2 linked regions of the Bombyx mori genome follow. The protein of the gene in region 1 interacts with the protein of each later gene in a pairwise test. Links are inferred from orthologs where the notes say so. Each region holds a gene or a part of one and is shown on either strand. Other genes may lie near its edges. The genes, in order: interphase cyctoplasmic foci protein 45 and SNF.

Region 1 (3,907 bases):
TGAGCTTGACACGTCCACGTTGAAACTCAGCAAACCAGCGATAAATTGTGGTTTTGGATGGGGCTTCATCACCAAATGCAGAAATCATCCGGTCAACACACTGTTTTTGTGTTAAACGACTTCGAAAGTCATAATAAATCATCGCTCTTGAATTTTCTCGAGTCAATTCCATTTTCTCAACGACTAAACAAGTTTGACAAAACCTCGTGACAAGACCGAGAATCTTTTTTTAAATAAATAAATGGTATTCGATTTTTAAAACCAAGGAGTTTTCAATTAAAAAGATTTTAATATGACAGGAACAGTGGAAATATTCCATTCCCGATACTTTTAGTGCAGCCCTCGTAAGCACTGTGTACAATACCAACACGCGACACCACGAAATACTAGCAATTTCTGAAAACAGTTAGCTAGCAGCAGTGGAATTGTATGGTTATGTTCTATGGATTTAATAAATAATGAGTCAGATGAAGGCTTTGAAGAAGATTTGATGCAAATTTTGGATACATAAATGATACTTAAACGACGACGAATTTCTCCCCATACATTATTTCTTATTGTATGATCCCTGTATATAGATAAATTCATGTCATATAGAACAGGATATCCTTTTACCAACTCAATCAAATGTTCGTCGGTCATTTCAAATGCTAAGCAATAAACGTGCAATAAGTAATATAAAATTGGCATAAATTCTGTTAGAGAGTTTGAAGAATAGGGATGGGGTCAAAGAATGCTTATATGCTCAGTGACAGTTCTCGAACGGCTGACGCGTAAGCAAGACGGGTCGTCGCACCCCCTTACGGGGGCACGAAACAGGCCTCGGGGCGAATCCCACTCACTGCCCGGGCAGAAGCTCCCTGCCATGAAAAGCAGGGAGGACTGAGAGGGGGGTTCGTATGCGTGTTCGGCGCACTCCAACGACATGTATACTTAAACTTAATACGAGGGCTTGAGTAGTCCACGGGATGACGCCCGGCGGCAAGGTCCCTCCGGCGTCTTGTTGTCCTCTGCATTATGTTTCTTTTTTTCTCCCCTTATAACGAAACTTACAAGCTCTACTCATCTAAGTTCATCGGAACGAATCACTACTCACGGATTTCAAAGTAGTGTAGGTATTATCTATGGCTTCACCACCAGTTTACACTAAGTGACTTTTTGGCGGGAACGCGAGGAGTGAACTTGTGTGATTTGTTTTATTTTGTCTATTTAGTGTTTCTTCAGATTTAAATGTGTAATAACGGTGGTTTATTAACTGTTTAATATCTGTGACAGTGCAACAAATATAGGAAAATGAAACAAAGCCGCCAGACGTAACTTTTCGGGATCCTCCAAAAAGTCCACTGAAAAAATCTCAGTAATTGACCACCATTTTACTGAGATTATCTTTCATCCCATATCATCTCATCACATTTAATTTCATTTCATCCCATCCCAGTTGATTAATATCTCAAATTAATCATCTTCATTTCATTTCACTTCATATTATCATTTTCCATAAAAATATCTCATATTATATCATCTCATCTCATTTCATTTCAGTATCATATTTCATAAAATAAAAAAAATATATAAAAGATTAGGCTGTATGGTACGATATCTATGCCTTTCCGTTTGAAAAAATAAGACTACTACTACCTATCATAGATTATACACTTATTTGCTACCTTTATTAATTATGTTCATAGATTAAACACTTTCTAGGTTACCATAATGGCAAATAATCATTTGTTTTGAAAATACAGTAAAGCTTTTACTTAAATGTGGAAATTAAAATCGACCAGGATTGTAAAACACTATTTATCCACAAATTTCCTAGTACTTAAAATGGCAAAGAGTTCCTTCGAATACGTAAAAAAATTTGAACATGATGATTCGTTGTTACCAAATACATGGATAGTTATAAGATTAGACGGTAAATGCTTTCATAAATTTGCAGACGACCACAACTTTACGAAGCCTAACGACTTGCGGGCTCTAAAATTGATGAACTATGCTGCATATACTGTTTTAAAAGAATATAGTGATATTTTGTTATCATTTGGGCAAAGTGATGAATATTCATTCGTACTTAGAAAAGACAGTTGTTTGTATAAACGGCGCTCAGCAAAACTATTAACAACAATAAATAGTAAATTTTCGTCATCGTATGTTTTCTACTGGAACAAATTCTTTGAACATCTGCCATTGAAATATCCCCCTTGTTTTGACGGGCGCATTGTTTTGTATCCTTGTGACGAAAATTTAATAGATTATATGAAGTGGAGACAGGCTGATGTACACATAAATAATTTATACAACACTACCTTCTGGACTTTAATTTTGAAGGGGCAGTTGACCCCTGTGCAGGTAAATCAATTTCAAATTTAAGATCAATTTATACTATATTTATTTGATTTTACAGAAGCTTTCGTTGTTGTTCTTTATGACATGCAATGAATAACTAATGTCAGAACTGCTTCCAATCTAAATTATAGGTGTATGGGTGGGGGGAACCTTTCTGAAAAAAATTATGATAAATAAATTGCAAAAAAATACATTTTTCTGAAGTTTTGGCACAATACTGATGAATCTTGATCTATGACTGGACATAGAATAAGCATAGGTTATTTAACATCCATTGTAATTATTTCATAAAATATAAGCTTACCTAAATGACCACTGATGTTTGATACATGTATGTGAATACTGTTTTCAGTATCTTACTTGTCTTAAACGATATGAGTTTATTGGACATTTTGTTTTGGTGTACAATCCTTTACAGCCTGTATAAAAGGGCTGACATCATAAACATCATGGTGTTACATTACTTCAGCCCATATACACAATATCATTAATACAAAAGGTTGAAAATTTGTCAATCTGTATCTTATATTAAGCTATAGCATCAGTGAAAGATTTACAGTAATGTTTCATTCTAGGCTGAGAAGCGTCTAAGTGGAACAGTGTCTGCTGATAAAAATGAAATCTTATTTCAAGAGTTTAACATGAACTATAACAATGAACCAGAAATATTCAAGAGGGGAACAATTCTATTGCGAAAGTCTATATTGCACAATAAAGTGAACAAATCTATCATTGTGGATGTTCATGATGATATGTTAAAGGATAAATTTTGGAAAGAAAACATATATATATTATCTGTAAAAAAATCTAAACAAAATTTAATGTATATAGGTCCTACAACAGAAATCATAGAAGATCAGTTAAGTAAATATGAAAGTCATTTAGAAGCTTGACATAACAATGACATCTATTTATTTTGAGGAACAGTTTAATACTATATTAAACTATAGCGTAATACTATATTAAACTGTTGAGTTATTTTAGATGTAAGATTTTAAATTTTGTATTTGATGTTAAACATCAGCTTTCCTAAAAAATAAGGCTACCAAACTTTTAGTGTCTTTTATTTATTACCATTATGGAAGTACAGGTATAATTCTAAAGTACTGGCTTTTTCCTTACTAATAGCTTGAAATAGTTAAACAGACTTAATGTCTTTAGACTGAGTCACGTTGACAACATGAGTGCAGCTGTCCACTGTAATCTAGGTTGAATTCTCAATTTTAATAAATGATAGATGTTCCAACCTTCAAACAAGTAATAACATTAACTTTTATCGTTAGAATTTCGCATACTGAATATGATTCGCACGAAAATGAAACGGTATCTTAAGGTGCACTTGGAACGGGGTGGCCTTATGGTCCATCTGGTGTAAAACAGTTATTAGCTTTCCCATCTTTAATGGCTTGATCACACGTACTGAGCAAACGGGCGAGACGTAAAATGTTTCTGGGCCGAGACGGCGCAGAAAGTGATGTAAGCGAGTAGCTGTTCACACGTGTTTTGAAATTAGCACAGTCAGTTTCAGTTTAGTGTGCTTAGTGCGAGTTTTATAACGTTC
Region 2 (4,633 bases), on another chromosome or scaffold:
ATTGCAGAAATACATACGACAGTGGTGCATACAACACTACTTTGTTTTATTTTCAGGTTGGGTTTAAGTCTCGGATGATATTCTTAAGGCTACAAAGTAAACTACACTTCTAAACTATCACGATAATATCACAGCCAGATCAGAGAGCTGTTTAGGCGGAGTGCAATGCTCAAAACAGTTCTCAGTTTCTCAATTTATTTATACTTAAAATTACATGTTTTACATTACACTATTTCTTAGCAAAAGTAATCTTCATTGCATGTGTTGGTGTTATTTTGAATCCTTGTAATGCTTCTTTGGCTGCTGCAGATTGCATTTCATTTCCGAATTCAACAAAAGCGATATCATGCCTGTTTGGCACAAGACGAACCTCCTTAAAGCCTGGGAACCTAAAAAATATAATTTATTGATAAATTATAAGTTACTTAAAATTTAAAAAGTATCTTTGTAACTTCAGTAATGAGAATGTGAGAGTTCCAATTCTCTAAAACTGCACACTTTAGAATTTTTGCTTTTATTGTTTTGTGTATTTTATTGTCTTATTTGATGATAAAAATTACTTTTTGAATGAAGTGAATGTGAACTTACTGATTGAACAACATTGATAACATCATCTCTGAAGTTTCATCTGGAAGGTTTGTCAAGAACAGAATTTGGTTGGGAGGTTGTTCCGCATTAACATTGTTTAGGATACCAGCACCAGGGATACCATGCCCAATAAGTCTGCTAGGATCTTTGTTTTTCTTTTTCTTCCCATCATCAGTACCTTTAGGTAGCTTTGGACGTTTAGGTCGTTCTTGAAATGTTCCTTTACTTTTTGCTATTATATCACTATCAATTTTTGAATACTGAATTCTCTGTAAAATAAAGTTTTGTGTAAATCGAACTAGCAAATTGTGCAATTAGATAAATTTATTTTGATCTTGACATTTTTATTTAGAAACATTACCATTGGTTTATCATAGAATGGAAATCCTTGCATGCTCCGCAAAGCAACAGTGGCACTTGAAATTTCCTTGAAAATAACAAATGCTTGACCACGCATTTTTAAGGTTTTCATTGCTACTATATCCAATATTTGACCAAATTGTGAAAATATTGCATAAAGTGACTTCTTTAATTCTTCTTTTTTAATCTTTTCATTGAGATTATTGATATAAATGGTATGGTTGGGTCTTATATCCATTGCTGAAAAAAGTTGATGTTTATGAAATACAAATATTTTAGTATTGCAATTTATTTATGCTTAATTTTTAGCCAAAAAGATGATTTACATTCATTGAGTGGCTTAGTTCATGATGTGTTCTCTAACTTCACAGATATAATTCCATATTGCTGCCTCCAATGAACACTACTCTAACTCAAAATTTTGAAATTTTCGTTTTTCACGCAAATCGCTTCACTATTTTAAAAGTATTACAAATTCATTATTAATGAGGTTTGATGCAAGAGTAAATCAGCTAGTTACACAAAAAAAAATCATAAAATCTTTATTATTGCAGATATATTTATCAACTTTTTTCGTTTAAACTCTCCTCCTGTAAACCTACGAATTTGGAGTTAGAGTAGTGTTAGTTGGAGGCATCGATATGTTAGTACTCTATACATCGACGCTTGAAAGGCAAACATGACTAAGAGACGATGCGTGAACTTTACAGTAGACTAATTTAAAGTTGAAATACCTGAATTCTATTTTAACGAATCTAGGTATAGGATTTAATTATTTTAATAGATATAGAAATATATGTTTTTTGCGCATCGAATATGGTGATTGCCTATAATTTATGTACAAAGCTGTTATTGTCGCTTAGTCACGTTTGCCTTTCAAGCATCAATATGTATTTAATGTATAGTAAGTATCTGTTTATATTTCTAGAGGTGTGAAAACATAACACCAGTTCATTTGGGATGCTCAAGATATGACATTGAGCATTACAGATGTATCAATTCTGTTCACCTAGTCAAAACTCAAAATCGATTCGTAATTTTATATAAACTCTTCTCCATAATATCATCATACTTGAACAATATAGATTTGTAAAGTGGGAATCCAAAGCATTAAAATAGATATTAGAGAATATTTAAAACAATCTGGAGGTAGATGTATACACTGATTTCAAAAAAGTTTTAGAAAAGCCCATCATGGATATGTACTTAACAATATTTTTGAATGGGATTGCAGAAAATTGCGATAGTCTTGATAGATTGCAGATAGGTTCAACGAACATCTGTCACAAAAGTTAGTTGATGGTCATCAGTCAAATATTGTAGTTGGCTACAGTTAACTTTTATTGTGAAGTAGTGAAATTACTGTTTCATCTCATCACCGTTTGTTATTCCTCAATAAATAAAATAAACTTTATAGGTTATAAGTTTTCTTTTGTTACGTTAGTTTTAAACTATCGTGAATAATGTGATAATTAATAAGATGAATAATAGATAAAATTATTAAATGTATTTGTGTTTGTACTTACTCATTTTGATTACAAAACTAAGTTTTGTTTTTTATACGAGAGGCGTGACAAGGAACGAATTCGATTGAACCAATGTGAGTGAAGGCGGAATCAAATTGGATACTGCAAGAATAAAACATACTAAATGTATTACCTTTGGATTAAAATGTTTAGTTAGGCATAAGTAGGTATTGTAAAAGTTTTTACCTTCCAAATTCTTTTTACAGGTCTAGGCAGTTTTCGTTGAAACAGGCGCGTCCCTAGCACAGAACACTATTACTTCTAGCGAAGGTCCCTAGCTAACATTCTAACCATAGATAGTAGTAGTAGTAAGGTTTTTCTCGAAGAGAAAGGCAAAGGAACTAAGCCATACAGCCAATTCTTAAGTTTAATATTTTCATATATAATTTTATGTTTCAAGGCAAAAAAGCCAATTGTTTAGTATTCTTCATTTATAAATATTTTTCAAATCCGTGTAAATGTCTATTCAGATTTTTTTTTTTTTTTTTCCCATTTGTTTCGGTTGAGAGTTGTCGCAATCGTGTTTCTTGGATAATCTGACTATAAAGTCAAAATTTGTGTTCTCCATTATAAGTCTCCGAAAGTAGAGGTAATGTATTCATATACTGCTCTAAAACTTGCAGGGCACTTAAGCAATTCTTGAAGAGAAGGCGGGATGCTATCCTTATAAACCTCTTGCAGTTTATCAATAAATAGGATGCGATGAATATTAAAAGCTGGACATGTGAAAAAAATATGATGTAAAGTTTGTTCTTCATTTAGTGAGCATTTATTACAATTTGGTGATGAAGTTATTTTCATTCGGTAAAGGTGAGCGCTAAATTTGCAATGACCAAATCTCAGTCTACAAATCTGTGTGTAGAACTTCCTTTTACAGAAATATTTGCTCCTAGCGAACCAGGGTTTAATACCGATTTCATTATTTATTTCAGCATACCATTTACCTTTGGTTTCATTCATATGCCTTCTGTTTTCGAGCCAATCTTTATTAATTTGTTGACGAATATCAGGAATTAGGTCTTGCCATGGAATTGAAATATTTTTAATCTGGCCACCCAAGTTATTTATTGATTTTGCAAAATTATCAACTTTTTCATTGCCCACCACTCCACAATAGGAATGGCGATTCTTTCCAAAAAAGATCGATTTTTAAATCGATTCGAATCGTAACCTGATAAATCGATTCATAAAAAAATCGAGGTCTAATAAATCGATTTCTAAAAAATCGATTTTTTTCAAATTTGTATTTACAATTTAAATATAAATCCATTTTATGAAAAACAAAAATGATACCATAATAAACAATCTCTGGGATCTCTTATCAGTAAAATCAGGAATTTATTAGTTCAGGGAATTCGATAATTACAATTATTTTTATTACCATATCAAAATATCAGATCAGATATAAAAGAAGACATTTAATTTCTAAATGTATTTGTTACATTAAAAAGTTAAGAGAGTAGATAACAATAGCTTATAGTTCCCAATGCTTCATATCTAAGTTTTTTAAAAACAACAATTTGTCAAGTCTAATGGGATCCAAGCGGTTCCGCTCATCACTTGCGATGTTGCCGGCAATCGAAAAAAGGCGCTCACAGGGAACAGATGATCCTACGATACTCATATACATCACGGCTATTGAGTGAACATGGTGATAAATAGAGTTTTTTTGTTCTTGCCAATAAAGTATAGGATCATACTTTAGGTGAACAACTGCCTGTGATAAATAGTGTTTAAACTATTCGTTTAAGCCTTGACTTTCCAGTGCAAGTGTATTACATGTAGAGAGTTGCTTTTTGACAAGCAACTTATGAAAATCCCAAATTCCTTTTTCTAAATCAGTCCCTTCTATTGCGTCGAATTCTTCACTATTATTTTGTGGAAGTTATTGCTGTGATTGAATATCTAAAATTGAAGTATTTATTCTATTTATTGCTCGAGAACAGGCTACATGGTCAGTAAAATGAATTTTTATTCCGTAACAAACACTACATAGAAATAAATATTTATTTCCCTAATGACAGTATGTATATTACAACAATCAGCCAATCAAGGCATATATATAAACAAATGAATGAATAATAACAAGACAAAACAATGACGCAATATCAATCAACAAAGTCAAAGATTACCAACGTAACTTTTTTTTACTAAAGAGA

Evidence for each region.
Region 2: the proteins of interphase cyctoplasmic foci protein 45 (region 1) and SNF interact in binary tests that used the Drosophila melanogaster proteins (3 or more experiments, as listed by UniProt). The link is inferred for Bombyx mori from reciprocal best matches to the Drosophila melanogaster genes THG and snf.

What each region holds. Positions count from the first base shown.
Region 1 is NC_085110.1:11,452,880-11,456,786, forward strand, and holds interphase cyctoplasmic foci protein 45, read left to right. Parts: upstream 1-1,705; 5' UTR 1,706-1,761; coding exon 1,762-2,349; intron 2,350-2,921; coding exon 2,922-3,239; 3' UTR 3,240-3,399; downstream 3,400-3,907. UniProt on the Drosophila melanogaster protein: Adds a GMP to the 5'-end of tRNA(His) after transcription and RNase P cleavage.
Region 2 is NC_085117.1:15,209,294-15,213,926, forward strand, and holds the start of SNF (U1 small nuclear ribonucleoprotein A), read right to left. Parts: upstream 2,818-4,633; 5' UTR 2,661-2,817; intron 2,577-2,660; 5' UTR 2,479-2,576; coding exon 2,475-2,478; intron 1,189-2,474; coding exon 950-1,188; intron 858-949; coding exon 589-857; intron 390-588; coding exon 230-389; 3' UTR 229-229; exon of another isoform or gene 179-228; intron 1-178. UniProt on the Drosophila melanogaster protein: Binds stem loop II of U1 snRNA. It is the first snRNP to interact with pre-mRNA. This interaction is required for the subsequent binding of U2 snRNP and the U4/U6/U5 tri-snRNP. Plays a role in regulating sex-lethal splicing.